Linked DNA regions of Diceros bicornis minor. The protein of the gene in region 1 purifies or fractionates together with the protein of each later gene. This does not show direct contact. Links are inferred from orthologs where the notes say so. Each region holds a gene or a part of one and is shown in the gene's direction. Other genes may lie near its edges.

What was found.
Region 2: the proteins of TGFBR2 (region 1) and SMURF2 purify together in Homo sapiens (affinity purification with western blotting; 3 studies listed by BioGRID). This does not show direct contact. The link is inferred for Diceros bicornis minor from reciprocal best matches to the Homo sapiens genes TGFBR2 and SMURF2.
Region 3: the proteins of TGFBR2 (region 1) and ENG purify together in Homo sapiens (affinity purification with western blotting; 3 studies listed by BioGRID). This does not show direct contact. The link is inferred for Diceros bicornis minor from reciprocal best matches to the Homo sapiens genes TGFBR2 and ENG.
Region 4: the proteins of TGFBR2 (region 1) and SMAD7 purify together in Homo sapiens (affinity purification with western blotting; 3 studies listed by BioGRID). This does not show direct contact. The link is inferred for Diceros bicornis minor from reciprocal best matches to the Homo sapiens genes TGFBR2 and SMAD7.

Annotation. Positions count from the first base shown.
Region 1 is NC_080741.1:34,747,539-34,754,929, forward strand, and holds the start of TGFBR2 (TGF-beta receptor type-2), read left to right. Parts: upstream 1-4,387; 5' UTR 4,388-4,785; coding exon 4,786-4,879; intron 4,880-7,391. UniProt on the Homo sapiens protein: Transmembrane serine/threonine kinase forming with the TGF-beta type I serine/threonine kinase receptor, TGFBR1, the non-promiscuous receptor for the TGF-beta cytokines TGFB1, TGFB2 and TGFB3.
Region 2 is NC_080757.1:47,385,874-47,393,577, reverse strand, and holds the start of SMURF2 (E3 ubiquitin-protein ligase SMURF2), read left to right. Parts: upstream 1-4,690; 5' UTR 4,691-4,956; coding exon 4,957-5,008; intron 5,009-7,704. UniProt on the Homo sapiens protein: E3 ubiquitin-protein ligase which accepts ubiquitin from an E2 ubiquitin-conjugating enzyme in the form of a thioester and then directly transfers the ubiquitin to targeted substrates.
Region 3 is NC_080767.1:35,847,307-35,855,173, reverse strand, and holds the start of ENG (endoglin), read left to right. Parts: upstream 1-4,856; 5' UTR 4,857-5,177; coding exon 5,178-5,244; intron 5,245-7,867. UniProt on the Homo sapiens protein: Vascular endothelium glycoprotein that plays an important role in the regulation of angiogenesis. Required for normal structure and integrity of adult vasculature. Regulates the migration of vascular endothelial cells.
Region 4 is NC_080755.1:41,553,826-41,560,887, reverse strand, and holds the start of SMAD7 (mothers against decapentaplegic homolog 7), read left to right. Parts: upstream 1-4,061; 5' UTR 4,062-4,591; coding exon 4,592-5,204; intron 5,205-6,556; coding exon 6,557-6,610; intron 6,611-7,062. UniProt on the Homo sapiens protein: Antagonist of signaling by TGF-beta (transforming growth factor) type 1 receptor superfamily members; has been shown to inhibit TGF-beta (Transforming growth factor) and activin signaling by associating with their receptors thus preventing SMAD2 access.

The DNA of each region.
Region 1 (7,391 bases):
GGAGGATGTAGTTAAATAGGGTGAGACTACAGAGACAAGAAGATGACAAAATTGATGTAATCCCACGTGAAATCACAAGAGATAGAACTAAAATAATGTCAGTGGTGGGGATGAGAAGAAAATGGATTCAAGAGATACTTAGAAAGACCCCAATGCCTAGTTAGTTCTGGATGGTAAAATAATGGCAAATTCTTAGCTAATTTTGTGTTTCTGGCTACCCATTGAAGACAGAGTCTTTACTTTATATAGGGAATGGGCCAAAGGAAAATACATTTTAGAGTCCCATTTTAGAATAAAGAGTGTGTGATACTAACGAAACATTTATGAAGAGAGTCGAGTAGGCAACTGGAATAATTGTAGCTTAGGTGAGAAATTAGAGCTTGATAATTAGATTCGGAAATCATCAAGCGCCAGTAAGCTGTAGATACAGATGTGTTCCCCAGGAAGAGTGAGAAAAGGGACAGAGGACGGAATTGGTAAACACTAGCATTTGACCCATGAGGGGAAGAAAACACCTGTAAACATATTGAGAAGAAACAGCTGAACAACCAGGCAGGAAATGGGGTGTGTTGGTTTGCTAGGGCTGCCACAGCAACTCTGGAGCTAAACAGGCCTCAGCTCAAACCTGGGTTCTGTCTCTTACTAGGTATGTGACCTTTGCTGAATACTTAATCTCTCTAATCTTCAATTTCTTCACCTGTAATGTGAAGATTAGAATAGTAATGCAAGGACATGCTCCCAAATGTTAACAAGTGATTATCTTTGGTTGATAAGGTTAGAGACCCTTTTTATTTTCTGCCTTTGGCTTATCTGTGTTTCAGACTTTTTTATAAAAGTAATATATATTACTCTTAGGGAAATAGATATTCTCATTTTTCCCTCTATTGAAGACAAGAAACATACATTGAGTACTGTAGGGCACAGGGTGTTGTCCAAAGTTAAAAAAGGAATAATGTGTTTTCAAGGACTTTGTAATTGGTGGGGTGGAATTCCAAAAAAACTAAATGAATAGCTATAATGCACTCCATATTAGAATAGGACAAACATAAAAAAATAGGTTAAATAAATTAAATGATGCTCCTTGGGTTCTCCCTGGGAGAAGAGAGATCTTACTAGGCTGGAGGAATCACAGAATGTTTCCTGGAGGAGCTGGCATCACGGATGACCCTAAAAGAGTAGCGACCCTCACAAAGTCACTATTGTCTCAGTGCTTGTTGGTTTGCTTCACAATAAAAGGAAAACTGGTCAAGAGATAAGAGCTGAGAATGCAGAGTGATTGGTTTACATGGAGAGGAATCTTCCTGTCAACTGCTGTAGTTGCCAGGAACCTCAACAGCTGCATGTCAAAAAGTTTGGGGGAGTAGAAAGTTCTTGCTTCATCACAGCTGGGAAATGCAGGGCTTAAAGTAACCACATTTTGATTCAGCCCAGTTGTTTCGTGTATGAGTTCAGAGTTTGCAAAACTGGGAAAATGAAGATAGTCAAGCTGTTTAACTTTGGATCAAGTTGGTTTTCGTTGTTTTTCAGTTTGGTAAGGGCTTAAAAATTACCTTTCTTCTTTTTTAAGTCCTGAGTTAAGCTTTTATTTTTCGTTTCCATCTGCAAATGGCCCAATTTTTACATACGGCTATTAACTACCTATGTGAAAACATAGAAAATTATATTAAGTGAATATACAATTATGTGTGAAAACAATGTCTTGATCAAGGGCGTCAAACTTCTCTTTCAATGAGACTCTCAAAAGGAAGGTCAGATTGACAAATTTTTAATATTGTCAAATTGTAGCATGTGTGAGTTCACACGTCTACGATTTCATTGTGATGATTTCTAAAAGATGAGTTTGCACTTGGCAATGCTGAATTCAGACGCTCAATTTCACAGGAGATTGAAGATTAAATCAGAAATGTTAAAGGCAAACAAAATTAAAATCAACGTTAGTGATATGTGATGACAAAGATCACCAGTTAAATATTCCACCACAGAATCAAATACCTCAAACCTGGCTTCTGACAATGTAAAACATCTGTCTTTGCAATAAATATAAAAGAGAAAGCCTTCGGAATCAATTGGGCATTTATTTGCCTCCATGTATTTTGGGGAATAAGGAAGCATATGTATGCTGTCCAGAGGAATTTGGGCAAATTTAGAAAAAAAAGAAAAAGAAACCCACACACTTCTTCATTTTTAAGAAAAAGAAGTAGTAGTGACATCACCCTCAGCTAAAATCTAGCCTGTTTATATCTCAATTTATGAGGTAATAGAATGCCTTCTTCAGAGTTATGAAGTAACTAGGACAGTTAAGTACAATTTCCTTCTGAATCTTGATGACCTCATTTGTTCATTCATCCAACAAATAGTTATTACACCCCTATTATGTGCTAGGTGCTGGGGATTTAATAGTGAGTGGAGGGAGAGACGTAATCCCTGTCCTCAAGATGTATGGACTTGAGTGGGGGATGGGAATAGAAATTAAAGAAGGGCGCAAATAATTATAAAACTACTGCTGTAGTAAGTGCTAAAAAAAGAGAGTCATATGGTGACAGGAGAAGCTACAATAAAAGATCTACTCAAGAGGTTAAGGAAAGCTTGCCCATCAAGGAAGCTATGATTTACCCAAGGAAGACCAAGAGTTGGCTGGGTGAAAAAGAAAGAAGGGCAGAGGACAGGAAGTGCACCCTGGGGAAGGCTCTGTGTGGGAGGAATGCAGGGGCATGTTCAAGGAATTTGGAGAAGGCTCTCAGCAGGAGAGGAGGAGAAGCCCAAGGGAAGGTTATAAGAGAGGAGGCGGTTTGAAGGCATGTTAAAGGATCTGGTTCTATCCTTTATCTCAAGAGCACTTGGAAGCCATTGAATGATTTTAATCAGAGGGTTGGTATAATCAGGTTTGCATTATGAAAAATTATTTTAGCTCTGATTTGAGAAATTGTGTGGAAGGGCCCAGAATGGCCCTGACTGGGGATGAGTGGTTGGGAGACTCCTGCGCCAGGGAAGGCAGTGGCATGGGCCAGGTGGCTGTGGAGGAAATAGGAGAAGCAGATTTTGAACTCAATTTTCCTCCATCGCTCAAGTGGCTTCCAGCTTTGGCAAGCCTGCTGGTGGGCAAGAAGATGCCCAGCCTTCCTGAATTCACTGCCCTTCCTGCATCCGAAATACAAGAGCTGGGAAGTGGCATTTTCCTAAAAGACACATTCAGAGGCAGTTTCAGTGCTGGGTGGAACAATGGTGACAAGACTTAAGGTTCCAGGATCAAGCAGATGAACTCTTAGATTGACAGGGAAGATTTTGGAAGTTGGGTTTCCAGGGAGGGCTATTTGCCTTTACTTCCAGTAAATCTGGCCACCTGCCTCTGCAAATAATCTTTGTCTCATAAGACAAGAGAGTTCATTGTGGAAACTGCTGGATGATCTCCTGACCAGAGGGCTATACAGAATCTAAGTCTTTGAGAGCTGGAAGTAGGGTGAGCATATAATTCATTATCCAAACAAGACACATGGGAAAGAGAATGTGTCTTGGTTGGATAATGATTAATTTCAAAACAGATGTACACCAGTATAGTTCTGGGCAAACCTGGTCACCTTAGCAAGAAGAGAAAGTTGAAAGTTTATTCTGTCCGCCTCCCACTATTTCCCCTATAGCAGAGGAGAGGATAAGCTTTCTCTCTCTTCATGGGCACTACTGGAATGCAAACACTGGTATTTAGCTGACTCCCAGGCCACTTTCATTTTTACATTTTCTACTGTACTTGATACATTCTGAAGATAAGATTTCTCACCATTATCACTCTGTAATGGCTGATCATTTACAATTACTCACTTAATCACCCCCAGGAAGAGGCAGGTCAAAATGGGAGGCACCACCCAAGAGCTCATCAGAAATGCTGCATCCTAGATGTACTGAATCAGAATCCGCATTTTAACAAGATTCTCAGATGATCAATATGCACATGAAAGTTTGAGAAAAAACGTCCGGACTTCAACCTACAGTAAGAAAACCTTTTTACAATGTGACAGTGTATGCACACATAACCGAAACAAAAGTTTGAGGCAATCCTTACTCTTACTATTTTATTAGGGAAAAAATGTGCTCACAACTCATTAGATTTCAGCATCCACTCACGGGTCGTGACTTGTAGTTTGAAAATACAACTCTAAAGCACCTAGGAACAATCCCAAGAAGGTTGGGGGCGGGGGAGATGCTTCGTGGGGGTGCTATGGAAAGGATATACACTTTCTCTGTTCAGTTACTTTCTGAAACGTGTGCACTTAGTCACTCCGGAGTAAATCCTTGGAGCGAGGAGCTCCTGAGAGCGGTGAGGGGCAGCTGAAAGTTTGCCAAAGCCCTCAGAGGGGCTGGTCCAGGGGACGTGATTGGCAGCTACGAGAGAGGGCGAGGGCTGGAAGCGAGCAGAGGGAGAAGGCTCTGCGGCGGCGAGAGGTCCTGCCCAGCTGTTGGCGAGGAGTTTCCTGTTTCCCCCGCAGCGCCCGGGTGAAGTTGAGTGAGTCACTCGCGCGCACCGACCGAAGACACCCCCACGCGCGCACACGCCCGGGGCAGGAGCCGGCCTCCTGCGCAGCTCCCCTCGGCCGCCGGGGGCCTCCCTGCGCCTCGCCGGCCTCCAGGCCCCCTCCCAGCTGGCAAGCCGGCGCCACATCTGGCCCGCACATCTGCCCGGCCGGCCCGGCGCGGGGTCCCGAGAGGGCGCGGCGCGGAGGCGCAGCCAGGGGTCCGGGAAGGCGCCGTCCGCTGCGCTCGGGGCTCGGTCTATGACGAGCAGCGGGGTCTGCCATGGGTCGGGGGCTGCTCAGGGGCCTGTGGCCGCTGCACATCGTCCTGTGGACGCGCATCGCCAGCACGATCCCACCGCAAGTTCAGAAGTCGGGTGAGTGGCCCCCAGCCGGGGCTTGGCGGGCCGCCGGGGGTCTCCCGGGCTCCCCGCCCCTTCGCCGCGCTTGACAGGCGGCCCCGGGAACGCAGCGCTCGGGCGGAAACGGGACGGTTTCCCCTCGCGGCACCCACGCAGCCCGACTCCCTTGGCCGCAGGGACGTGAGTTTTTCTTTAAAAAGAGAAGGAAAGTTCAAGTGGAAAGGGGCGCGGGGCACGTTTGGCCCCCTTTGTGCGGGCAGGAAAGGCGTTGTGTTGGCCGCGTTCGAGGCGAGCCCCCACCCCCGGAAAGGGAAGTTTGAGAAGTTGGTTATCTGAAGGAGGCAGGGGAGCAGCGGCCCGGAGCGGCGGCCGCAGAGGCCGCCAGAGCAGCTGGCACACCTGGGCCACCGCGCCCCGCGGCGATGCTGCGTGCCCACGCCGGCTGGCCGAGCCACCCCCTTAAATGGCCAGTTACTCAATCCTTAGCCCCTGGGAAGGGCCACACACTCCCCCAGGCCGGCTTCTTGGCCCGGAGTTACTGTAGGAAAGTTGCAAGACAAGAAGCTCTTTCCAAAGGAAAGTTATCCGGCTCCACTGACGGCTAGGCGTGGATGGGGTAGGGAGTGGAGGTTGTCAGGTGGAAGGCGGAGAGTTGTTTACTGAGTGCCTACTGGGTGCTGGGTGCTAGGTGCTGGAGATGGTGCCTGGAGCAAGACAACCCTGCCTTCCGGGAGTTGACGGTTCTCTGCAGTAATCGTTTGGTGGAAACGGAAGGGTTAAAATCGTAAATCCGCTGCCCACCTGATCTCTATCTCTAGAGGTTTTTGAGGGGGAAAAATGCAGGAATTGAGTTCTTAAAGATTTGTTATGAGAAGCATCGAACCCCTGAGACCTGAAGAGTTAGAATTTTTGCAGCTAGGATCCACATTATTGAGAATCTGCAGCTGGGCTGTGGGTAACGGAGTATTTGGACCTTTCTCAGGCCTCAGTTTGCTCATCTGTAAAGTGACGCGGTTAGATTTGGATAATTTTACATTACCTTCATCTTTATCATTTTATGTCCCTCTCTTCCCCCTTTGGTGACTTGGAGATGCCCTGTGTGGATGTGGGATGAAATGTATTGGATTTGACAGTCCACATCACCCTGAGGCACTCTTTTTACTTACCAAGGGCTGCACAGGCTTTCCTTTAGGTTTGTCTAGAAAAAATATGCACCAGGTTCTAAATGGTACATTTCAGGGTATTTGAAGTGGATTGAGAACTTTTTAAGATTATGTTTTATATTCAAAGTCCCATGGAGGTGGGAGTTTTTAATGGAATGAGGAAGAAGCACTTATTGTAAACAAAAAAATCCTAACATAAATTTGAGTTCTACTGTTTAATCAAATCCCAGTGTTTCATTCTCGGCTGTTTTTGTATACTGCAGTACTAGAATGTTCAGTTGCTTCTGATTATACCCCACACTCTTAAAAATTGAGTTATATTTTGCTAATAAATATTTTAAATGGCACCCTCAATTTTCTGTGTATGTTAAAAATCACTAAAACTTTTGTTTCAGATTACGAAAGAAGGAAATTAGCAGGCTCTGATTTTGTTAGGTTTTGTTTACAAGGATAAGATTTATGATTTGCAAATTCCAGACTCAATAGTTTATGAGTCGGTTTCATTTTATCTACATACACACTTTTAAACAATTAACTTAAAAGCTTAGGGGCTTTTTATTTGGGCTTTTAAACAGTTTTCCAAAATGCACAAATTTTATGTTTTGTGGAATTAAAGTTTCAAAATGGTTGAACTAAGGAATCATTTGAATTTGTATTCATTTGAAATTAAATTTTTGAAGATAGTTGAAGGTAACTATAATGAAGATGAGAAACCTGATTCCATGATTGCATTTTAATTTTCCATGTAAATAAATGGTTTCAGAATTTTTCTAACATAATTGGTACACTGTCAAAACATTTTTCAAAATATCTTAATGCATGATAAGATATGAGGAAATGAGATTATTTACAGCCTCCTATTAGGTCACCTAAAAAAAAATCCATCTTCTGTGGAGTAGATTGACAAGCAGATAAAGGATCTCAGTCTAAGAACAAACTTCACTAAGAAATATACTTAAAATTTTTTAAAGTTTTGTTTTTGACTTAGATTCACTCTTCCTAAATGCTCAAAATTAAGTAATTACTCTTTTGGGGAAAACTTTCAATGTCTGAAAACTCTTCAGATCTGAAAAATGTGACTTTTGCTTTTCAAATACCTACCAAGAGATGCTTGTTGATGACTCAACGTTGGTAAAAGTGTCATGTGGATAAACTTCTTTCTTAAAATCATGTTAAAGATATGCTTGATTTGTCAGAGTCAGAGACTAGACTAGGCCCAGAATTTGGTCTCTTTGCTCTTGTTCCCAGAAAGTACATTTTCACCTCTAGGCCACTTCCTATAATAACATCTTTTTATACCTATTTATGGTTTACACAAAATACTCATCACATTTTGGATTCATTGCCTTTTTTTTGAGGTGGCA
Region 2 (7,704 bases), on another chromosome or scaffold:
TATTTTATTTAACCCAATATATCCAAAATATTACCATTTCAATATGTCATCAATATAAAAAATAAGATATTTTGCCTTCTTTTTTCCCATATTAAGTCTTCAAAATCCAACATGCATTTTATACTTGCAGCACATCACTAGCCATTTTTCAAGAGCACGATAGCCATATGTATTAGACTTCTCTAGATTCTAGAAGTGCTGCCCCTGGGTTGTAGGATCCAAGCTATAGGCCGGGTTGCAGGTGAGACTCAGTTCTGGAGAAGAACACAGGCAGGAGCAAGGCAGACAATCAAAGGTGTTTGGGGACGTGCTTAGGACAGACCTGAAGAGGAAAAGGTGTTCCAAGTGGAGACAAGTGAATGCAAGGGACTGGAACCCACTTAAACTTGCTTAAGTAAGGGGTGAGGTGGTTATTCTGCACAGTGAGATCCCTTGGAAATGAACTGTGAGAAGTCACACCTGGGCCAGGAGTACTGGCAGGAAATCTGTGAGACAATCACTTTCTTTGTTTCTCTCTTTAGGGTTATGAAGCCTCTTATCTCCACTTCTCTCTATTTTGTTAGTCTCTTTCTACACACTCATTTCCTCTCTCTCTCTCTCTTTTTTTTTTTTTTGTGAGGAAGATTGGCCCTGGGCTAACGTTCGTGCCTATCTTCCGCTACTTTATATGAGACGCTGCCACGGCATGGCTTGACAAGCGGTGAGTTGGTCCGTACCCCGGATCCGAACCTGTGAACCCCGGGCTGCCGAAGCAGAGCACGTGAACTTAACCGCTATGCTACCAGGCCGGCCCTCATTTCCTCTTTTTTTAATGTACTGGAACCTTAAAATGGCTTCCTCAGCTGCTAACACTATGACCTCTCAACCCAGCTCCCCACCGCTAACAGCCTCCCAGTATCTCTGTCACATATTCCAAGGAGAGAGACTCTGATTGGCCTCTTGATCAGCCACCCACCTTTGGCTCAGTTAGTTGAGGCCACGCTCACCTAACACAAATAAGGCCACCCAGGCTCATCCTTGATGTAAGGCAGTGGTTCTCAAAGTGGGTTCTCCCCACCAGCAGCATTAGAAATGCAAATTCATGGGCCCCACCCCACCCTGTTGAATCAGTATCTCTGGGGAGGGGGCCTAGGACACTATGTTACAACAGTAGGTGAGGGCAGATTCCCTCAGAAGGAGATGCAAGTAGGGACTACCATCTTAGTACACCAGGGTAGAGGCGGAGAAGGCAAGAGCCAAGGCGAATGGCACCAGGGAGCCCAGATCTGGAGAGACACAGGTCCCTGATGTGCCCTCAGCTTCCATCACCAGGGACGAGGTCTGCTGGGAGGGGGTCAGGGAAGGCGTCACAGAGAGCAGCTTGTAATGCAACCTAATCCTAAACCATGTCAGGACAGGATGGCACATGAGGGTTTTCAGTGAACCTAACTAAGGACCTGGGACAGGCAGAGGCAGAGAGGAAATGAGTGAAGATGGGGGAGGGAAGGAGGGTCAGGTTGACAACAGCAAGTACAGGGGGGGGCTGTGCTTGGCTGCTTCATCAGTTGTAAGCTGAATAGAGGAAGCTAGAAGTAGATATTAAATTAAATTAAATTCATGACATTTTAAACATTAAAGAAAGTTGAATTTTAAGCAGTGGTAGAAACTGCTGAGTGCCTGACGTTTGCTTTTTCCATGGCACATAAACTGTATTAAATCTGAAATTTACACTACAAAAATAGCTTCACAGGAGTACCATTATTAACATAACCTTACCTCAGACAGATTTTTTATTACTGGAGACAACTCTTCTATGTAAAAAATATATTAATGGCTGGAGCAGAAGAAAAAAACCAACTACAGATGGTAAGCATTTTCTTGCAACGTCACATCAGATTTAATATTAGCCTTGGAAAATAGAAACAAGTTTTAAACAAAAAGTTTTAAATATTCTTATAACCATGTGTAGATTTTCACCTCTAGTCTAGGATACCATCATAAAGAGTGCAACTTACAGTGATTAAAAAACATTAATGGAAAAGTTTAAAACTTTTGCTCAAAAATGTTATTTAATGAGTGGTTGTTAGCATTTTCATTGGAAGGTTCTTTTAAGTGGCATTTATGGAAAAAGACATATTTTATTGGTATGAAATAGGTGGAGTTAGTATATTTGAGACAGATGCCTAAAACAATGATTTGATAAAAGGTGCACAATTCTACCAAGAGCAAATTAGAAGTCATAAGGGAATAAAAAGCCTTTGAAAAGATTTTCTGCAATTCCCATACCCATTAGAGACATGTATAGGTACAATTTACCTTGGAAGTGGATTTCTATTTTAGGAAGAAAGAAAAGGGTGAATTCCCTAAGAATTGTTATTCCTCCCTCTTTTTCTCAAAAATTATGTCTAGAAGTGTTGCCATGATGAAGCAATGCTATACATCCAATGCTGAAATTTAATCTAATGAAAGTTTAGCTCTCCTTAACAGTATGAATGTTTTAAAGTATTATTCTTATCTGAATCTTTTATTTTAAACAATAAGATTTAAACATACACAGGCAAGCTTAAACAGAGTCCTCCCCTGCATATTAAGTACGTATACATTTTTCTGCACCATCACTTACATATCTGAATGTAGTGCTTTAAACTTCACAACAGGCAATCTCTCCAGCTTCCCCACACATTCTGAAATCCTAACTTTATTATCTAATACAAAGCTACCAATTATGTTAGTGGGTGGTTGGGAACAAAGGGCGTGCCATAACAATAAGGCAAATGTATACGTATATATCAATTTGCTAAGTTTTATTGCCATTACCCATCCAGTGTTTTAAGTTGTGATAGCAGCTACTGTTCAAATTGATTAGTGTATCTTCAGGGCTTCTGTAGTACAAAGAAGCATTTCTAAAGGACCTGGGTCACTGCTTTACACATGGGAGGCACTCAGTATTTGTTGAATGAATTTCTAGCACCATCCCCTGAATTTCTAGTCTAACTTCTAGCACTTTATATAATTTTTGGATCATTTTAATTGTAGAGCTGTATCCAGACTGACGGGATGCTCTTGGAGGTCACTTCATCTGGAGAATGAAGTGACATTACTGATGAATTAAAAGTAATGATTGATACTGAATTAGGATTAAAATATATTAGACTTTATTAAACATTTAAAATTGCATTAACAGCCTTAAGCAAAACTAACAGTACACAAAAAATCGCCTATGCTGTTACCCTTAGTTTTCATTGTGCTAGATACTTTTGCATGCATACATATAACTCTTCAATCTGCTTTTAAACTTCATTTGTAAACTCTTCCATATTATATGGTCTTCATAATTGCCATTTAAATGGCTGCATAAAAATCCATGCCAGGGGCCAGCCCCACGGGCCTCACTCCCCCTTCCCGTGCGTAGTGGTTAGGTTGCACCAGCTCTGCTTCCGCAGCGCAGGTTCGGTTCCCAGGTGCTGACGGTACAACACTCCCCCGGGCCATGCAGCGGCAGCGACCCACATACAAAATAGAGGTAGACTGGCACCATGTTATTAGCTCAGGGCGAATCTTCCTCAAGCAAAAAGAGGAAGATTGGCAACAGATGTTAGCTCAGAGCTAATCTTCCTCAGCAAAAAATAAATAAATAAAAATAACTCATGCTAATATAATATAATTCGCCATTAGACTGTTTGCTCATTCCTCCTTTTGTTATTTAACTGAACTTTGCAAAGAATATCTTCTGTATTACTGTACGTCAAGAATAAATTCCTAAGAGTGCAATTACAGGGTCAAAGAGTAAAGTACAGTTATTTTTATTTCATTTTCTGTTTTTTCCCCCTGAGATAAGGAAATACAGTACTGTATGAAAAGCTTTTCATACATTGCTCTCCAAGGTTTATCTTGTTCATAATCCTTTAAGGCATTATTATCATCCTCCTCTCCTTGTGCTACAGCTGGAAAAAGAGCCCGAGCAGGCAGGTAACCTGATCTCGCTCACCAGGTGAGTCCTGGATGGAGGTGGCAACTACGATACCAGGAGCAAAACACCCCTGGGGATTTGCTGGAATCCTCGGTGTGGGAACACCGTCTCTTCCCTCACCTCAGCGACGCTCAATTCCCTGAAGGCAGCGGACTCGGCTCTAACCTTGCCCGCCCCAGCCTCTCAGAGTGCCCTGCACGCAGTGGGCGTCTAAAAAATGCAGTCCGTGTTGCACGGACAAACGCTCTCCCTTAAGTGGGCTGGACACCAAGCCCCTCCTGGTGCCACAGAGCTCCGCGCCGCCACTTTGTTCCTTGGCCCGCTCCCTCCTAGACTCCTGCGTGGGACCCTCTGCTGCAGCCCACGCCCGTCCTGCCCGCCGGAGGCCAAGCGGAGCCCGGGCCTCGCGCCCCCGCGCCCCGGGCACCCTGCGCGCGCCCGCCCAGGCCCCGCCCGCCGGCCCCGCCCCGCCCCGCCGGCCCCGCCTCCCGTCTCCTCCCCGCCCCCCGGAGCCGACGAGTGGCGGCGGCGGCGGCCCCAGGACCCGGTTCGCTCAGACAAGAGGGCGGGTGGAGGAGGAAGCGGCCGAGCCCGGAGTCCTGCTGCGGCGCCGCCGAACACCGCCCGCCTCAGCCGACCAGCCCCGTCGGCTCCTGGGTCTCGCCGAGCCGAGAGGAGGGGAAGGCGGAGGCGGCTGCGTGGAGGCGGCGCGGGCGCGGGCGGAGGCGGTGCGGCCGGCCGCGGCTGCCGCTTTGTTGTGCGGCCCGGGCCGAGGAAGGAGAAGTGGGAGGAGGGGGGAGCTCGGCGTCCCGCTCCCTCCGCGGCTCATGGCGACGACGCTCGGCACATCCGGGACCCTCCTGCCGTGGCGGCCGCGGCGCCGGCTGCTCGGGCCCCAGCCCCGGCAGCTGTGGTGACTCCGCCGCGCCTCGCCGTCGCCCCCGCCCCGCCCGCCGGCCCCGGGCCCCGGGCCCCGCGCCGCCGCCGCCGCCCCCGCCGCCGGGGAAATGTCTAACCCGGGGGGCCGGAGGAACGGGCCCGTCAAGCTGCGCCTGACAGGTGAGGGGGGGCGGGCGGGCGGCGGGGTCCGGGCCGGGGCAGCCGCGGGGTGGGCGAGCCGGCGGGGGGTGTCGGTGGCCTTGGGAAGGGCCAGGGTCGCGATCAATGGTGAGTTGGGGGTCGGGGACGTGGGAAGGCCTAGTTCAGGGAGAGTAATGGCAAAACCACTCTCCCTTGTTTGGAAATTCGTAAAAAAGCCCAGGGTGACTCTGGGGTCTTTTGTTGAGGGGAGGGATCCCCCGGTTGGAATTCCGGGCGGATATGAGGTCGAAAAGCCTTGGCCGGGGAGCACGACTCTGTCCCGGGGCCTCGGGGAGCAGCCCCTGGGCTCCTGCCCAGGTGGGGTGGTCGAGGGGATGAGGAACTCCTGTGGCGGGGATTATTGAATCCGGTTGCCGACTGCGCGCAGTAAACACTCCTTAAAGATGGAGCGCTTAACGGGAGGGTGTGTGTGTGTGTGTTCCCTGGTTGGTAACTTGTTCGCCCACTTATGCCCGCGTGTAGAGCCTTCACTCTCTGCTGCCAGCCGCGGCAGCCGCCGCCACACACCTGAAACGCACGTCGTTGGGAGGGAAGGAGACTGAGGTTGACTTTTCCGGTGTGTCTGCCTGATCCGACGACTCGGGCTCTTTGTACACTCTGTGTTTTGGAAGTGTTTGATTGTAGGGTAACATGTAGAACAACATGGGTTGTTCCTTGTAGGCCGCAGAACTTGTGTCTCACTTCTAACTCTAGACCTGCTTTAAGAACACACTTTTTTTGGGTACATTTCTCAGTATGTGCTCATACAAACTTTCAAGCGAAATCGCTCTTTCCCCACTCTCCTCCCCTTCCCTTTTCTAAATGGAAAAGAATGTCTGGAGGGGTTGCTAGATAGAAGGCTTCTCTTGCAAAGTGTTTATGATTCCAAGTACGTTGAATCTTTAACATTACAGGTACGTTTTGCTTACGCTGCCATTTTTGGTATTCTTACATGGTCGCATTACCCCATTTTAGGAAAAAATTATTTTTCGTTTGAGAAGTGTAATTGAAATCAGTGTAGTTATCCTAGTTTCACCATTCAGTGTTAATAAATTATCCATGTTGATATTCGGATGTGTGGTGAGAAAGATGGTTTTCATAAGAGGATCTGTGTGTGTGTGGGTGCGCGTGTAAGAATAAACTATAATTATGTTTGCCTATACTAGACTTTAAGATTTATATGGACTAATTTTGTAATTGAATGCTTGTGTGTCACATCCTGGTCCGCTGGCTGAACTTGGAGATAAAAACTTGCAGCGAAGTTGGTATTTGAGAATTTAGCTTGACTGTATGTTGGCTGCAATTTAAAAAATATATTACTTTCACGACAGTTTTACTTTCCCTAGGGAAAATGGCAAAGAATCATTAACTGAGTGGTTCTTAATGGAAAACCTGGATTGGGGGATGCCTGTCTCCCCTATTTCCCCCAGTTTCCTTATTTTCTTATAAATCAATGAAAACCTTTATAAGGGATCTTTGTTGCTTTAGAGTTTATCTACTGCTGTTCCTCTCTGGAGTCAGTCCTGTGTCAGTGATCATGGAAAGAACCTGTGAGTCCAGGTGTGCAAAAAGCATCAGAAATAGGATGTTGGCCATGTACTTCCTTCTAGCCTATTCACATAATGAGAAAATGAAGGAAAAAACAGGGATTTTGATTTTCTGCAGATAAAATGAGTTTGAGATTTTTAATGTGACTCAATAGATCTTAAAGTGTTTATCTGTAATTTTCTTACTGCATATGATACATTATAAAAATTCATGAGTAAAGTTAGAAAAGATTACACTTATTTTTAGGGGGGAGAGGAAACACGACTAAATTTATAGAGTGATTTGGTATTTTTAGATTTTTCTGAGGAATTTTAAACACACTGTGTCCCCTTAATTGTAAAAACAGTTTGAGGTACTCTTAATTTCTTAAAACCATTGGGAATTTGTCTCTGACATATTTTAAGAGAAAACTATTTAAATATTAAAAACATTGCCCTCTCCCTTTTGGTTACATATGGTGGATTCTCTTCTGTTTTGCCAGGAAAACTAACATATATTTTTTCATTTTTGTTCATTTACAAATTAGATGGTATAGATTTTAACAAATAGATCTCAAGAGCTGGATTCAATTAGCAGCTTTTTAGGACATAAACATTAAAGGGTTAGATGGAAAAGATTGTTTTGACTGACTGGATAAATGACAGGGCTGTGTTTGATGTGTGTCCAGGAATTGGTCTGGAGCCGGTGCCCAACTTTTCAGTCCATCTTGAGAAGCCAAATAAAATATTTAACCTAGGCCTCATTTTGTTTTTAAAAAAAAAAAAAGCTGATTCTTTGTTAAGACCTTAAGAAATGTTTGGCATACCTTTAGACTAAGTGTTTAACAGTTCATTTAGATCCGGGTTCTATAATAGAGGAAAATCACTGAAAAAAAGGCAGATCCCACAGTGAATTTCTATTTGGTTTACAATACACTTGGGCTGTAAGATGCTTTAAAATTATTGTTCTTTGCTTTATGTTAATACCGTACTAGTATTTTAAATTTATAGAGTGCTTTTGATTCCATGGTGCTTTATGAACTATCGTTACTCAATTATATCTTTAATGTAGAGGTGCCCCTTTACTGAAAGGTGTAAACAATTCTTGTGTGATGACACACACACGCTCATACTCACACATACATGCAA
Region 3 (7,867 bases), on another chromosome or scaffold:
GTGGCTGGAGTGGAGTGAGCAAGGGGGAGAAGGGCAGAAGGCGAGGTCGGAGAGGGGACGGGGGAGCCTCGCTGGCCATTTGAGGGGCTCTGGCTTTCATGCTGAGTGAGAAGGTTGCCTGGGAAGGGCGCTGAGCAGAGGAGGGATGGAACTTGACGTGGGTTAACACGGGCTCCCTTCACGGGGGTGCAGGGTGGGCTGGGACAGGGGCGGAGCGAGAGCAAGCTCAGTGAGGAGGCGACGGCAATGTACCAGGAGGTGCTGGTGCCTTGGATCAGGGCGCTGGCTGTAGGGTGGGGGGAACCCCACAAACACTGGGAATCTGGGGGAGCAGCTGCCAGAATTTGCTTGCGGGTCGGATGAGGGGTGTAAGAGAAAGAGGCAAGGTCGACCTCAAGGCTGGAGCAACAAGCAGAGGGCGCTGTCACAGTCTGCGATGCAGAGACTGAGGCAGGAGCAGCCGGGAGAGAACAAGCAGAGCCCAGTTTGGGGCGCGTTGAGGTCTGAGATGCTTGTTAGACATCCGGGAGCCTGGAACCCGGGGGAGAGTTCCAGCTGGAGATGTAAAGTTGGGAGCCATCGGTATATAGACGGTATTTAAAGCTGTTTGTCTGGATGAGGGCACCCAGAACAGTGCTTTTCAAATTCTAATGTGCACAAGAATGCCCTGGGATCTGATAAAATGCGGGTTCTGATTCAGCAGGTCTGGGGCAGGGCCTGAGAGAGGTCCTCCTTGGAGCAGCAAGGATCTAGGGCATTCCGTTTTACGGCCAAGACCCATTGGTGGGTAACGAAATCAACAGGTCAATCACTGGCTTGTGATCAGTATTTGAAAGAAAACGAAGAGGATGGATGCACATCATAGGGCATATACAGGTTCACAAAACGTTTGTTTCAATTATTTGAACCTGAGTCCCAGTGTTTGTGCTGAGGAAGGACATCACGGTCACTCAGGTTTGAGAAAACCTGACTTGGGAGTGACTGAGGGTAAACAGAGAAGGGAAGAGGCCCAGGGACCAAGCGTGGGAGGATGAAGAGGAACCATGAGGAGGCAGATAAGGCGACCAGAGAGGTGGGAGGCAACCCAGGACGAAATGTTCTGGAAGCCAAGGGCGATAAGACAGGCCCAGATTTGAATTATCCTCTGCTTCTCCCCAGCCGTGTTATCGTGCACACCTGAGCCTCAGTTTCCTCCACTGTAAAATGGCGACATGAGTCTTGGCCCGTTAAGGTGGCTGTGAGGTGACACTTGGCACAAGGCTGGGCGAGCATGTGGATGGTGGAGAGATTCCGATCCTTGCCCTGGGCTTGGAGATCCTCCAGGTAAGCAGGCTGCCCTCCCATTGCACAGATGGAGAAATAGACCCAGAATATGGAAAGGTCTTGCCAGAGGCCACCAGGGGCAGAGCCTGGGCACCCTGACTCCCAATTCAGCGCCCCCTTTCCTCTGCACCCACTTTCTGCCTTGTCCCTGTGGGTCTGGCCCTGCTGTCCTCAATAGCCCCTGGCTCTAGGCCGGTGCTGGAGACGGACAGCCGCCTGGGGGGGTCCCTGGGGGCCGCCTAAAATTCCTTCAGTGGCCAGCGGCCAGGGTAGACGTGCTCCATCCCTTCCTGCAACCCTGGCCTTCCCGGCCAGCCAGGAGGAGGAAGGAGCAGAATTCGTGCACCTGCGCACTGCGAGGTCCAGGCACAGGGGCCTGGCTATCAGCCATGTGTCTCTTTGGCGTGTGGATAGGCGGCACCTGAAAACATCTGCATCAGTCAGAGCCCCGGCAGGAAACAGATGGCACGCTCCAATAGGATAATTTGAGGAGAGTGTAATGAAGGGTCTGTTTACACAGGTGCAGGCAGGGTGAGGGGAAAGCACAGGGGGCAGCCAGGACCCCAGCGCAGCATGGGCCATGACCACCCTCGGCCTGAAGGGCTGTGTGGAGAGTGCCCGGTCAGGGCTGCGGCCTGCACTGGAGGGAGGCCGCCAATTTGCAGTGACCCTTCAGGAAAGGAGCCAGAGGGATGGATCCTCCTCCTCCTTCCTCTCTCTGATCTGTGCAGGGGTGAGCGAGTGGGAGGAGGTAGATGTGTCCATCAGGGTGGAGAGTACATTCAGGGGACAGACAGAAGACAGCTAACCCAAGGGCTGGCCCTGGCTGTGAGACCGTATGACCATCAGGCTTCCTGGGAGGCAGGCGACCCAGTCCAGGGACTGGCCTCTTCCTCTGCGGAAGAGGAGCAAGACCTACTTCTGTGTGCCTCAGTTTCCCTATACCTCTACAGCCCCTGCCCTGCCTTACCTTCCAGGGCACTTCATGCTTTCAATAAATAGATCTCAAGAACCAATGGGTCCTGGGCTGTGTGCTAGGGAAAGGGGACACAGGCTGGGGGGTTGGGGAGGCCCAGGGCGCTGTGGGAGCCGCGGGGCGGCCTCCTCTCCACCCCTGGGGGTCCCAGTCCCTCCCTTCCTCCATGCGCTTTCCCAGGTCGTGACTCCAGGCCCTCCGGGGCTGTCTGTAGGGTTTTTCTCCCTGCAGGTTTCCTACAAGTTCTTCCTTGCATCCACCTGCAGACTCTCCTGCTTTCTAGAGAACCCAGAGGTCTTGTTTATAACGTGGGCGGGGATGGATTCTGCAGTATGGAGGGAAGTAGGAGGGAGGGAAGTTTGGGAAGAGCCTCCAAGGGGGTCCCTGTCACTGCCGCGGATGCCCCGACACCCACTGTGGACAACAACCTCCCTCACCCCACGACACCCACAGCCCCAGTGACATCTGTCGTCTCCACATTCAGCTCAGGCGGTGGCGGCAGGGAAGGAGGTGAGCTTGGAGCCAGGCAGCCCTGGGGTCTCCACTCTCCGGCTGGGGGTCACTTAAATTTCAGGCAGCCGTGGGTCCCTCCTCCGTAAGCGTTAATGGCCCGGCCTCCAGGAGTGGCTGTGAGGATTCAGAGCTGATAAGGTGAACGCCTAGGGTGGGGCCTGGTGCAGGGCGAGTTCAGGCCCTGGGGCCGGATTAACTGTCCGTGGGGCACAGAGCCTGGTCAGGGACCTGGGGAAACCTCACAGCCACCCCGCTATCCCCCACCAAAGCCATCGTTTGCCCCTTGGTGCTCACCTCCCCATCTCTGCGCCTACAGAAAAAGGCAGAGGAGCTGGGGGCCTGGGGGTGGCCACCTCCGCCCCATCACAGCCTTCCCGGCCTGTTGGGCATGGATGGGTCTCCCGTGACCCCACACCCATGCCTGGCCGGGAAGTGTCCGGCAGCTGCAGGGCTGGATGAGCAGCGAACCTTCTCCCAATCCCCACCCAAGGAGCCACACCCGCCCTTCCCGCCCTGATGTCCGCTCCTGGAGAGACAAACACACTTCTGCTCTGCTCCCTCTGGAGGCAGCCAGGGCTCCTGCCTTCTCCTTCCTCCCTGGGCCTCGATTTCTCCATCTGTGAGCCAGGAAAAGTATAAAGAGGAAGACCCCTGGCTCCATGCCCTCTGCAAGTCCTGCCGGCACACTCCAAGATTTGTCTTCTCAAAGCCCAGCTCTGCCAGCACCTTCTGCTCCAGAACCCTCCATGACATCCTGTGGCCTTTAGGATAAAGTCCTGGCATTCGAGACCCCTCAGCCAGCATCTGCCTTTCTAGGCGTCCTGTCCCTACCAAGCCCCTGCTTGTCCCACAGGGGTCCGACCACTTCCTGCCTCTGTGCCTCTGCTGGGGCTGGTCCCCGTGCCTGACATGCCCTCCTCACCCCTTTTTCTCCACCCACCAACTTGTCTGGTGTTTCACAGGCCAGGCCTAAATGCCACCTCCTCCAGACAGCTCAGGCTTCCTCCTCTGAGCTCCCTGGGGCCTGATGCTAGGTGCTACCCGTGACTCGCACCATGGTGAGCACATAATTGGCACTTACTATATGCAGAATGAACAAGTGACAGTTCTGGGGTTGTCTCCCAGGCTCAGGGAGCACTGATGGGGAAGCACTTCCTAGGTGCCAGGCCCAGAACTCAGCACTGTGGTACCCTGTCCCCTGGAAATCTCACAACAGCCTGGCGAGCAAGGCACCATGCGCCCACTTCACAAACAGGGTGACTGAGTGTTGAGGGGACTTGCTAAAGGCCTCAGCTCAGAGCAAGCAGGGTTTTGAACCTGGGGCCATCTGACATCAGAGAAGCCATTAGATTGTGTCCCCCTTTTGTTTGGGGCTTTCTTTTGTCCCTGAAGGACTTTGCACCCATGGAGAGGGCAGACATGGAGTGTGTGGCCCTGGGCAGGTCCCCTGTCCTCATGGGCCTGAGGCCTCAGCCCCAGCTGCCATGCTGACCCAATTTGAGAGTGTTCCTTTGCTATTCTGGGCCTCAGTTTCTCTGCCTGCAAAACCTGGAATGACAGCCCTGTGTCGTGCTGTGTAAGCCAGCTTTGGCGCCCGACGAGACCTGTTCAAATCCCAGCTCCACCGTCTCCTTGGGCCCCTTATCTCACCTCATCAGGACTCTGTTTCCTCATCTGCAAAATGGGAACACTGAGTTCATGGGGCTGTGAGTTCCACGTGAACTGCCTGGGCCAGGGCCTGGCCCCTGAAAGGTCCCCCTGGTGGGCTGTTAGGGTGATTGTTGTCATCCGCCCCCTGGGGGCTGCCGGATGCACCCCACCAGCCGGCCCTGGGGAGGGTGGGATGGGAGGATGGGCTGCGTGGGGAGACAAGCCGAGAGCTTGGACCCTCCCACCCCACTGCCTCCCCCCGCCCCAGGGCCCCCCACCCAGCGACAAAGCCCATGGCACTTCCTCTCTCCGCCTGGCAGGCCGCCTGGCCCGGCCCCTTCTCTAAGGAAGCGCATTTCCTGCCTCCCCGGGCCTGGCTGGATGAGCCGGGAGCTCCCCGCTGCTGCCGGTCATACCCCAGCCTCCATCCACATCCACAGGCCGGGCTGCCGCTGCCGCCGCCGTCCACAGGAGCCCAGCACCCGCTCCCGGCTCATCTCCCGGCCCGCGCCCCCCGGCCTGGCCCTGCGCCCCCGTGCCCACTTCTCCTGACCCCTCGGCCGCCACCTCAGAAGGCTGGAGCAGGGACGCCGTCGCTCCGGCCGCCTGCTCCCCTTGGGTCCCCGCGCGAGCCCACGCCAGCCCCCGCGCCCGCCCGCAGCCCTGCCCCTGGACACCGGATAAGGCCCAGCGCACAGACCCCCGGGTGGACAGCATGGACCGCGGCACGCTCCCCCCGGTCGTTGCCCTGCTGCTGGCCGTCTGCAGCCTCAGCCCCACAAGTAGGTGTCCAGGGACCCGGGGTGGGGAGACCGGCCCCCAGAGCAGAGACCAGGCCTCCTCCCTGTGTCCTGAGCCCGTGCCCTGTGGAACTGTCCTGGGGGGTTTGGACGGCACAAGGTGGATGTCAGGGTGACCAACCATCCTGGTTTGTCAGGCCAAAGAACTTTCAGTGCTAAAAGTCTCAGGCAAACAGGGATGAGCTATTATCTTAAACCTGGCCTCTGGCCTCCCGGCTGTGTCCAGTTCCTCGCCAGGAAGCCCAGGTCCCAGAGTGCTGTGCAGCCCCGGGAGAGTCCCCTGCCCTCTCTGGGCCTGGAGTTTCCCATCTGAGGAACGTGTGGGAAGAAGGGCCCAGGGTCTTGAGTTCAGAGGGTGGCGAGCTCTGGGTTCAACTCTCACGTCATTACTTCCTCATGGTGTGATCTTCGGGGACAGCCTTCGGGCCTCTGAGCTAAGCGGGAATGATAACAGAACTTCCCTCGGGGCTGTTGTGAAGGTTCGTGGTGAGTCAGTAAGGCAATGCTTGTAGAGAGAGCTCTCGGGCAGGCTGGTTGTTTCTGTGATGTTATTGTTGTTGCTTTGTGACTAGCTTTCAATTCCGCCAACCTCACCTTCCCAGAACCTGTGAGCGGCTCCCAGATCCCTTTTAAACACAGCACTCTCCCCTTGGGCTCTACTCCCTTCTCTACTCCCCGGGAGGCCTGCAGGATGGGGCCGCAGGCCCAGACTAGGGGTTCTGTGGGGGCTCCTCAGCCTGGGGGCTTTTCCAGGCCGTCATGGTCTCTGCTGCCTTCTGAAATGACCAGATGAGGGGCCCGTGAGGAGCCAGGGACTCCCCACGGGCCCCTCATCACACTCACTGGGGCCCCGCTGTGCCCTGCCACTCATCCACCAAAAGCCACAGGACGGCCCTGTGGACACCCCTTCACCCATGCTGCAGGAGTGTTCCCATACAGCAGCAGCAGTGGGCACCCCTCCCTGCCTTACCCCACCCCGCAGCATTTTAAAGTCCCTAAGCCTTGGTCTCTAAAGTCTTATCACTGCCTCACTGAAAGACAGGAAGTGGGTCTCAGACATTAAGTGACCTTGCAGGGATTTGACCCCAGGCCTGTGGCTCCCAGAACACTTGCTCCTAACCACATGTGCTGCGGCAGCCCCTCTCCATACAGCTCAGGATAATCCTGCAAGATGGCTGCTATCACCCCATTTTACAGGAGAGGAAGTGGAGGCTGTGACCTGCCAGGTTCACACGGCTCAGACAAGCCCTACCTGAGCTCCACCACAGGCCTCCAGGCTGCCCTGCCTTTCTCCTGCCTCCTCCACATTTCTAGCTTGATAACGCTCTCTTCCTCTTGGTCCTCAGAGAAACCCTCATGCAGATCTTTAGGGTCTGGTTTTATAGGATCAAAGGCAGGGGTGTGCTGGCAGATCATTAACAAGAGGGGTGGGGGGTAGGGTTTGCCAATTTCCGTGGTGTAAATGTTTCCACTCTGCTGATTTCAGGCTACCAATCGCCAAACTCAGAGTCGGGACGCGGTGCAGGGTAGTCTACCTTTATCTGGCATTTCCACCACGCAGATCCAACAGGCGTAGGTAACCTCAAGAGCGTAGATAATAGTAAAATGCAGTAAAATAATTAGGAAGTAATGAGTTTTAATATTTATTACCTTTTAAAAATATATAATTAAATTAATTTAATTTAAGCTTAAAAATTTAATTTTTTTTTTTTGTGAGGAAGATTAACTCTGTGCTAACATCTGCCAATCCTCCTCTTTTTGCTGAGGAAGACTGGCCCTGGGCTAACATCCGTGCTCATCTTCCTCTACTTTATATGGGATGCCACCACAGCGTGGCTTGCCAAGTGGCACGTCGGTGCGCGCCCGGGATCCAAACCGGCAAACCCCAGGCCATTGCAGCGGAGCGCGCGCACTTAACCGCTTGCACCACTGGGCCGGCCCCAAAAATTTGATTTTTAATAATGGCTGTATTTAACAGCCACTTGGAAAAACCCCTGAAAATTTATCAATCTGCTCCTGCGAGCAGGTACCAGCACCCCAGTGAGCATAGGGTTCAAGGGCATTCCAAACTATCCAGCCCAACTCATATACAGTTGGGGAAACTGAGGCCCGTGGAGGGCAGATGGGGGCCTGGGCCAGGGCGTGGAACGCAGATCTCCACGCAGGGGAGGGGGTGGAGTGACCCGGCATCCTCTTTCAGGCTGGAGGAGGTAAAATGGGTCTGAAATGGCCCCAAATGTGTCCAGCCCCCTGGGAACACAGCTTGGCAGAATCTCTCAAAACTGTAACTTGTGTAACAACTTGACCTTCAGAAGTCAGCCCTGTGGAGTTATTTGCCCAACTCCTTAAAGATGTGTGGTCTGTAGGTACCTGTAACAAAAATCCAACAACTGGAAACCACCCCAATGTCCATCAGCCTGGGCCCCATTAAATGATTTATTATGCAGTGGAATACTACGCAGCCATTACCAAGGAAAAGCTAGATCTATATCTACACTGCTGGGGACAGATGTCTGGGACACCCAGTTAGGTGCCCAAACAGCAATGATTCCACTTCAAGAATAAATAGTAATAACACACAATATACACAGAGAAAATCCCAATG
Region 4 (7,062 bases), on another chromosome or scaffold:
CTAGGCACACGAGCCAGCCGGGAGTTCCTTTACCGCCCAGCTTCTTTCTTGGAAGGGAAAGAAATAAGAATGCGATGGCGTGGCGCTGGCTTTCAGGAAGGCTTGGGATGTGAACTGATTCAGGGGATGCCAAGGAGCCATAAAGCAGCACCAACCATTGTAGCTACTTGCCCAGCATCCCACCCATCGTCTACCTAGGGTAGTAAAATGGAGGAGGAAAACCGTGTGTAGAGGGCAACATAGGGGTGACGCCTGAATTAAAATACCCACAATTACACTATATGGGAGCATATCTGTGCAAGTATATGCATGTTCCACCCAGACAAGCTGTGACGTCAGATTCAACTCCTGAAACACCTACTGAACCTACCTGCCCTGTGCGTGCTCTGTCCTCTCATCACAGAGTGTTAGCACCACTGGCCAGATTTCCAAGTCTCCAGATTCTTCATTTAGCCAAGAAGCTTAATTAGAATTATGACATTTGCTTAATCTGTTTATTTAAGTCCTTCCTGTCACTTTGCAGCCTGGCCTAGCCTCTCTTGAAAATTGAAGATCTTCTAGTGAGGCCCAGAGTAGAGAGAGGGAAGGGGACCCCGAGAGGGCAGGAAATTTTGCCCAGAAAGCTTTTAAACCCTGCCAAGTGCTCAACTAGTGGTGAGGGTCACCACTAGTACAAGTTATTTAACCCATGAGTGGCAGAGCCCCAGCCCGGAATCAGGTTTTCTGACTTCTAGTCTGGTATTTTTTCTAAGCCTTTCTAAGGGGAGTATGTTATACATTTCCCACACACCTCAAAAATCTCATTCTATCTCTTCTGCTTTTCCCTGCCAAGGATGATGGGCTCACCCGGGTCCAAACCTCCCTCCTCCATTTTCCCCTGGGCTCCTCAGCTGCGGTCTTTGCAGGCTGCATCTTTAGAAAGTTTCACACAGACACACAAGGTTTCAATGTCCTTCTTGATAAGCAGCATTTTTACTTATAACCAAATTATGATCTTATACAATTGCAGCCTATGTGGCCTTACAAAGTAAATGTTTAGAATGCCCTGTCCTACACACCTCTCTGCACTGCTTGGCGTTGCAGTGTCTTCTAGGTCAATAAACTTCAGGGCTCCCTTGCCTGAAGATGATCATGTAACCAATGTCTCTTGTTTTTCTCTCACATTTATGTCTTCAAAGGTGCTTTTGGTGGGTTGGGGGAGGGGGAGTGGTCCAAATGTTCCTTTAAGTCCTATCCAACTCTGTTGATTCCTAAATATTTATTAAGCATCTATTGCATGTCAGACTCCTTTTAAGTTGCTGGAAGGTAGGGGGCTGAGCTATAAAGCTAAGATTCATCTGTGCCTTTTCCTTTTTTTTTTTTTTTTTTGTGAGGAAGATGGGCCCTGAGCGAACATCTGCTGAGCCTCCTCTTTTTGCTGAGGAAGACTGGCCCTGGGCTAACATCCATGCCCATCTTCCTCCACTTTATATGGGGACGCCGCCACAGCATGACCACTTGACAAGTGGTGCGTTGGTGCGCCCCCCAGGATCCGAACCAGCAAACCCCACCTGGCAGTCCCTGTGCCTTTTCCTTTTAAGAAAGTATAATTTAGCTGGGAAAATGAAAATAGTACATTTCGTCTTTTCTAAAGATTTATTAAAATCCCCAATGAGTTTCATTGTCCTGATCTCACAATTCTAAACGACTTTAAAAAAAATCTTATGTCACTGAATAAGTGAGGTTAGATCACCATGCCAACTAGTGGCCTCCTTAGTACTGATGCATATATATGTAAGTCATTATGTTTCTCAGTACCATCAGCTTTCACCAAGTAAACGCGTTCTCGTCCTTTGCCCTACCAATCCTCACCCATTTTCATGCAGTAATCTGCCAGCTGGGTCTATGCTTCTCCCGAACCCGGGGTTAAGGGATAAACTCTCTGACCCTAAGCACCTTGAAAGCTACGAGACCGTGGAGGGCGCAGAAGCAGGCCCCGCATGCATATGCATGCCCTAGGCAGGTCGGCTCCGAAGGTAACCTTCCCGCGCTGGGAGGCGGGGTGGCGGAGGTCTTCCGGGCTCCGGAGGAAACCTGCCCGCGGCGGGCGGGCAACTCCGCCCCCCCCCCCGACTTCTCCCGCCAGGATGCTGCCCCTCGCAGCTCGTCAGCCAGCCAAATGCATTCCAGAGCTGTACACAAGACACACTTCTCCAGGCAGTCCTAGAAACCCGAGCCCGGAGCGGGAGAGGGCGGGAGGGAGCGCGCGGCCGCCGCTGAGGTCACATTCGCGCCGCCTCCCCGCCCTCGGCGGCCCGGCTGTTCCCTCCAGCGCACACTTCCCAGGGCCTCGGTCCAGTCCGGTGTAAATGTCTTTTAGACGGAGACAGCGCTCTCCTCCCCCTTCCCTCCTGCGCGGCCAGGGGATCCGCCGCCAGGGCCCTTAAAACGGAACGAATGAATGAAGCGCTTAGGGCGAGCGCGCGCGGGACGGCCGCGGCGAAGCTCCGCGGCTGGGTCTAAATTGGGCCACCGACCCGCTCGTTCCGCTCCAAAACTCGCCAGCGAAGCCCGCTCGGTGCTCTCGGGTCTTCCCATTTCTCCTCTGATCCGGCCAGGTCTCAGTCGATTCTGGGAGCTTCTCTGCTCCCCACCTTTATTCGCCCCCCCGTCGTTGGTCCCCCCTCTGCAGGCCCGGGAGGGGGTGGCGGAGGCGGGGGGGCGGGGGGAGAAATAGCTTTTAGAAACCCGATCTGTTGTTTGCGAAACACAATCGCTTTTTTTTTTTTTTAAAGCGACAGGGTGTCTAGACGGCCACGTGACGAGGCCGGAGCCGGGCGCGCCACTGCGCAGTGGAACCAGCAGAGCAGAGGGCCGGGGGCGGGGGGGGGGGGGGCGGGGGGCGGGGAAGAGGCGGCGGCGGCGGCTGGGGGCGGGGGAGGGAAGGGGGAAGAAGGGGGAGGGAAGGGGGCGGGGGCGGGAGGCCTTGCGGGAGGCGGCGAGCCCCGGGCACACTCGCTCGCTCGCTCGCTCGGCGCACGGAGGAGCTTGTCCCCGAGCCGCGCCAGCCGAGCCAGCCGGGCGCCGTGCTCGGTCCGCTCGCTGCGCCGGAGAGAGCTGCGGGAGACAGAGCCAGCCCGCCGGCGCCGAGCTGCCGAGCTCCCGGCCCCGGAGCCCCTGAGTGCGGCGCGGCGAGCCCCCGGCGGCGGCAGAAGGACCCGAGCGCCAGGAGAGGGCGGACGGGGGACAAGGAGGCTCCCGGGCGCGACGAGGAGAGTCTCAGAGGAGGAGGCAGCGTGAGGACACCGGGGCCTCCTGCCGCCGCAGCCGGGTCGGGGCGAGCAGCCCACACGGGGAGCCCCGGCGGCCAGCCGCGGCCAGGGGAGGGGGCGCCGGCGGCCCCCGCACTAGCGAGCAGCTTGCGCCTAGGAGGGCGAGAGCGCGCGACCCGCCAGGGGCCCGCCGCCGCGCCGCCCTCCCCCGCGCTGTCAGCCCCACCGGGCGCAGCCGCCGCCGCCGCCGCAGCAGCATCTTCTGCCTCTGCGCCCCCGCCAGCCCCGAGGAAGTCCCCTCCGAGGACTGGGGCCCCCGGGAGCGCAGGAGGAAAGACCAGAGACTCCCTTAAAACACCCAGATGCGGAGGATTGAAGCAGCCTAGCCAAAGCTTTCTGTGGATTAAAAAAATATACGATTTTTTTCTTTTGGCAGAAGAAAAGGAGAGGAAGACCCGCGGGGCTCTGCAAGGAAAAAAGGGGGATGTAACTCGTGGATACGCTTTTTCCACCCCTCAAACGTCTCGTTCTACTTTGTAAAGATTTTCTTTTTTTAAACCCCAGCTCCAGCCGGACGCCCCCAGACCTCCGGGGTGCGAGGAGGTGGTGTTTTTCATTGGCTTTGCATATTGGGTTCTTAGATTTTGAGAGAGCCTCCTTATTTCGCCAGACATCTCATGCGGGGTGAAGTCCACTCGGCCCCCTCCCCCGAGTCTTCGTGTGCACGGAATTCGAGGAGATCCGGTTACTAAGGATATAGAGGAAAAAAATAAATCGCGTGCCTGCTTTTTTTTTTTAATTGCCTGCTTCTCCCCACCCCCAAATTAAGTTGCTTAGCAAGGGGGAAAGAGGCTTTTTCCTCCCTCCAGCAGCCCAGCCGAACGCCTTTCGTTTTTTGCCCCCCGCGGATCTTCCATGTAGGAAGCTGAGGCTGGCGAGCCCGACACTCGGGAGCCGCTGCGGGGGGGCCTCTTTTTGGGGAGGCGCCGACCCGGGCAGGCTTCGTCCTCCCCAGGGAAGCGGCGGCCGCGTTCCTCCGGGGTGCGCCGGGGCCCGAGAGCCGCGCACGGCGCGGGCCGCGCGGGGTGGGGCAGCCGGAGCGCAGGCCCCCGAGCCCCGGCGGGCGCCCCCGGGCCCCCGCGCTCGCCCCGGCCTCCGGGAGACTGGCGCATGCCACGGAGCGCCCCTCGGGCCGTCGCCGCTCCTGCCCAGGCCCCTGCTGCTGCTGCTGTCGCCTGCGCCTGCTGCCCCAACTCGGCGCCCGACTTCTTCATGGTGTGCGGAGGTCATGTTCGCTCCTTAGCCGGCAAACGACTTTTCTCCTCGCCTCCTCGCCCCGCATGTTCAGGACCAAACGATCTGCGCTCGTCCGGCGTCTCTGGAGGAGCCGTGCGCCCGGCGGCGAGGACGAGGAGGAGGGTGCGGGGGGAGGCGGAGGAGGAGGCGAGCTGCGGGGAGAAGGGGCGACGGACGGCCGGGCGCATGGGGCCGGTGGCGGCGGCGCGGGCAGGGCTGGCTGCTGCCTGGGTAAGGCGGTCCGAGGTGTCAAAGGTCACCACCATCCCCACCCCCCAGCCGCGGGCGCCGGCGCGGCCGGGGGCGCCGAGGCGGATCTGAAGGCACTCACGCACTCGGTGCTCAAGAAACTGAAGGAACGGCAGCTGGAGCTGCTGCTCCAGGCCGTGGAGTCCCGCGGCGGTACGCGCACCGCGTGTCTCTTGCTGCCCGGCCGCCTGGATTGCAGGCTGGGCCTGGGGGCGCCCGCCGGCTCGCAGCCCGCGCAGCCGCCCTCGTCCTACTCGCTCCCTCTCCTGCTGTGCAAAGTGTTCAGGTGGCCGGATCTCAGGCATTCCTCGGAAGTCAAGAGGCTGTGTTGCTGTGAATCTTACGGGAAGATCAACCCCGAGCTGGTGTGCTGCAACCCCCATCACCTTAGCCGACTCTGCGAACTAGGTAAGAAGTTGTTCTGTGCCCACCTTCCCCTCCCCCTGGCGCTCAAGCGGTGGAAGAAAAGCCCCTGCGGGCTGTGTTTGTGCAGCCACCTCTCTGGAGGGGAGTGTACATTCCCTCCTGGGAGGAGACTTGGGCGACCAAAGTAGAGAAGGAACAAGGGGAAACTGGAAGGGCATTCCCTGGGGGGTTCCCTTCCAGTTTTTTTCTCCTCGGTTGCTCCGAGGGGGGCTTATGGGCACTGCTCGTGCACACACTCTACAGACGTGTGGCTAAAAATGAGACGCTCTCATTTCCGGATCAGTTCGGGGTGCAGAGAGAACTGGGGGTCACGCCTCCCCCGCGCCCGGAAAGGCGTTGAGGTGTGTGGCCGAGTTGGATTCGGTCCAAGCCCGCCAAGGAAGGCTGGGAGAAGCGAATCGTAAAGGCTGGAGAGCCTCTGCTCCTTTAGTAAATAAGGAGAGTCACGTCGTGCACAAGTGGCCCGGATACTGCCCTGGATGCGCAGCTTTGGGGTTTTGGGGCAAAGAGGGTGAGGGAGGGAGGGAGGCCAAACTGGATATCTACTCTCAACTCTGCCAGCTCAGGGTGGAAAAGAACAAGCAGTCAGGAGAAGTTGCGTGTCCCCTGCTTTTTCCTTTCTTTCAGCACAGGAAAGCGCAGACTATGGAACTGTATAGACTGTAGGTCTGCCCCCAGCGCCTCCGTGACGTTGCTGCCTCTTAATGCGCTGGGGCCTGGGCTTCGCCGCCAAGACCCCAGCCTCCTCCTCTTTATCCTTCCAGCTGCCTCCATTGCTTCCCTTTTCTCAACGTCTCTGCGGGGGGATGGGGGCGCGGGTGCATCCTGGGCGCCCACAGACCCTCCTACGTTCACCAGCGCTCTTGGGGCGCGCCTCCCGGGTGGGCTGGGTAAGGGGAGCCCCGCGTTCCCCGCGCGGGCGCGGAGCGCAGCGGCGGGGGCGGAGGTGAATTGCGCCCCTGGGGGGCGGGCCTGGGCGGTGGACAGTGGGAGCGAGGCTGAAGTTCGGGGACGGGGAGGGGGCTATGTAGACCCCCGCCTTGTGAACTGTGAAGTGCGCGGCCGCGGCCGAGCCGGTGGTTTCCAGCCGGGCCGGTGGAGCGCGGCGGCTGCGGCCGCAGACGTGGAGGAGCGGAGCGCCGAGGCTGGCGCCAGGCGGCCTCTTTTGTTTATCTGACAGCTAAATATCAAGGCAATCACCGCCTCGCGGCCCTGCCTCCAACCCCCACAGCTAAGACAAACAGTTGGGCTAAAAGAATGCCTCTGTTATCATAAGTTTCTATCTCTCTTTCTCATGGCCCGGCCTTTATTTTCTCTTACTTTTTTAATTCCAGAGTCTCCCCCTCCTCCTTACTCCAGATACCCGATGGATTTTCTCAAACCAACTGGTGAGTAGATGATTTTAAAAATATCCTTCCTATCTTAAGTTAGAAATGGAGCCTCTAGAACCAAGATTTTTATGTCTAGGCAGTGGCTTTGGGGAGGCGCTGGGTCTGGTCGGGGGTGGTTATAGGTTTCCTCTGTTGGAAGTTTGGTGGATTTTTCCTGTTTTTGTTGTGGCTGGAGATATGTATATATGTTTAGGGGGGAGGCAGCGACGTTTCCTAGATATGCTTTACATTTTGTTCCTTTTTCGTGTGTTTGCACTCCGTGGCCAAAGTTGGCTCAGCTTTAACACGTGGAATTTGATCCACGCAGAAGTATCCTGGGAACCAAATAGGACAGGTTGATGGGAAAATGTGGAGACTCTGGGAGTGCCAGAAGAATGGGTGGGAAGAATGGATAGTTTGATGGAAGGGAAGACAGTTTAAAAAAGTGCAGAGAGGACCGTGGCCTGGAG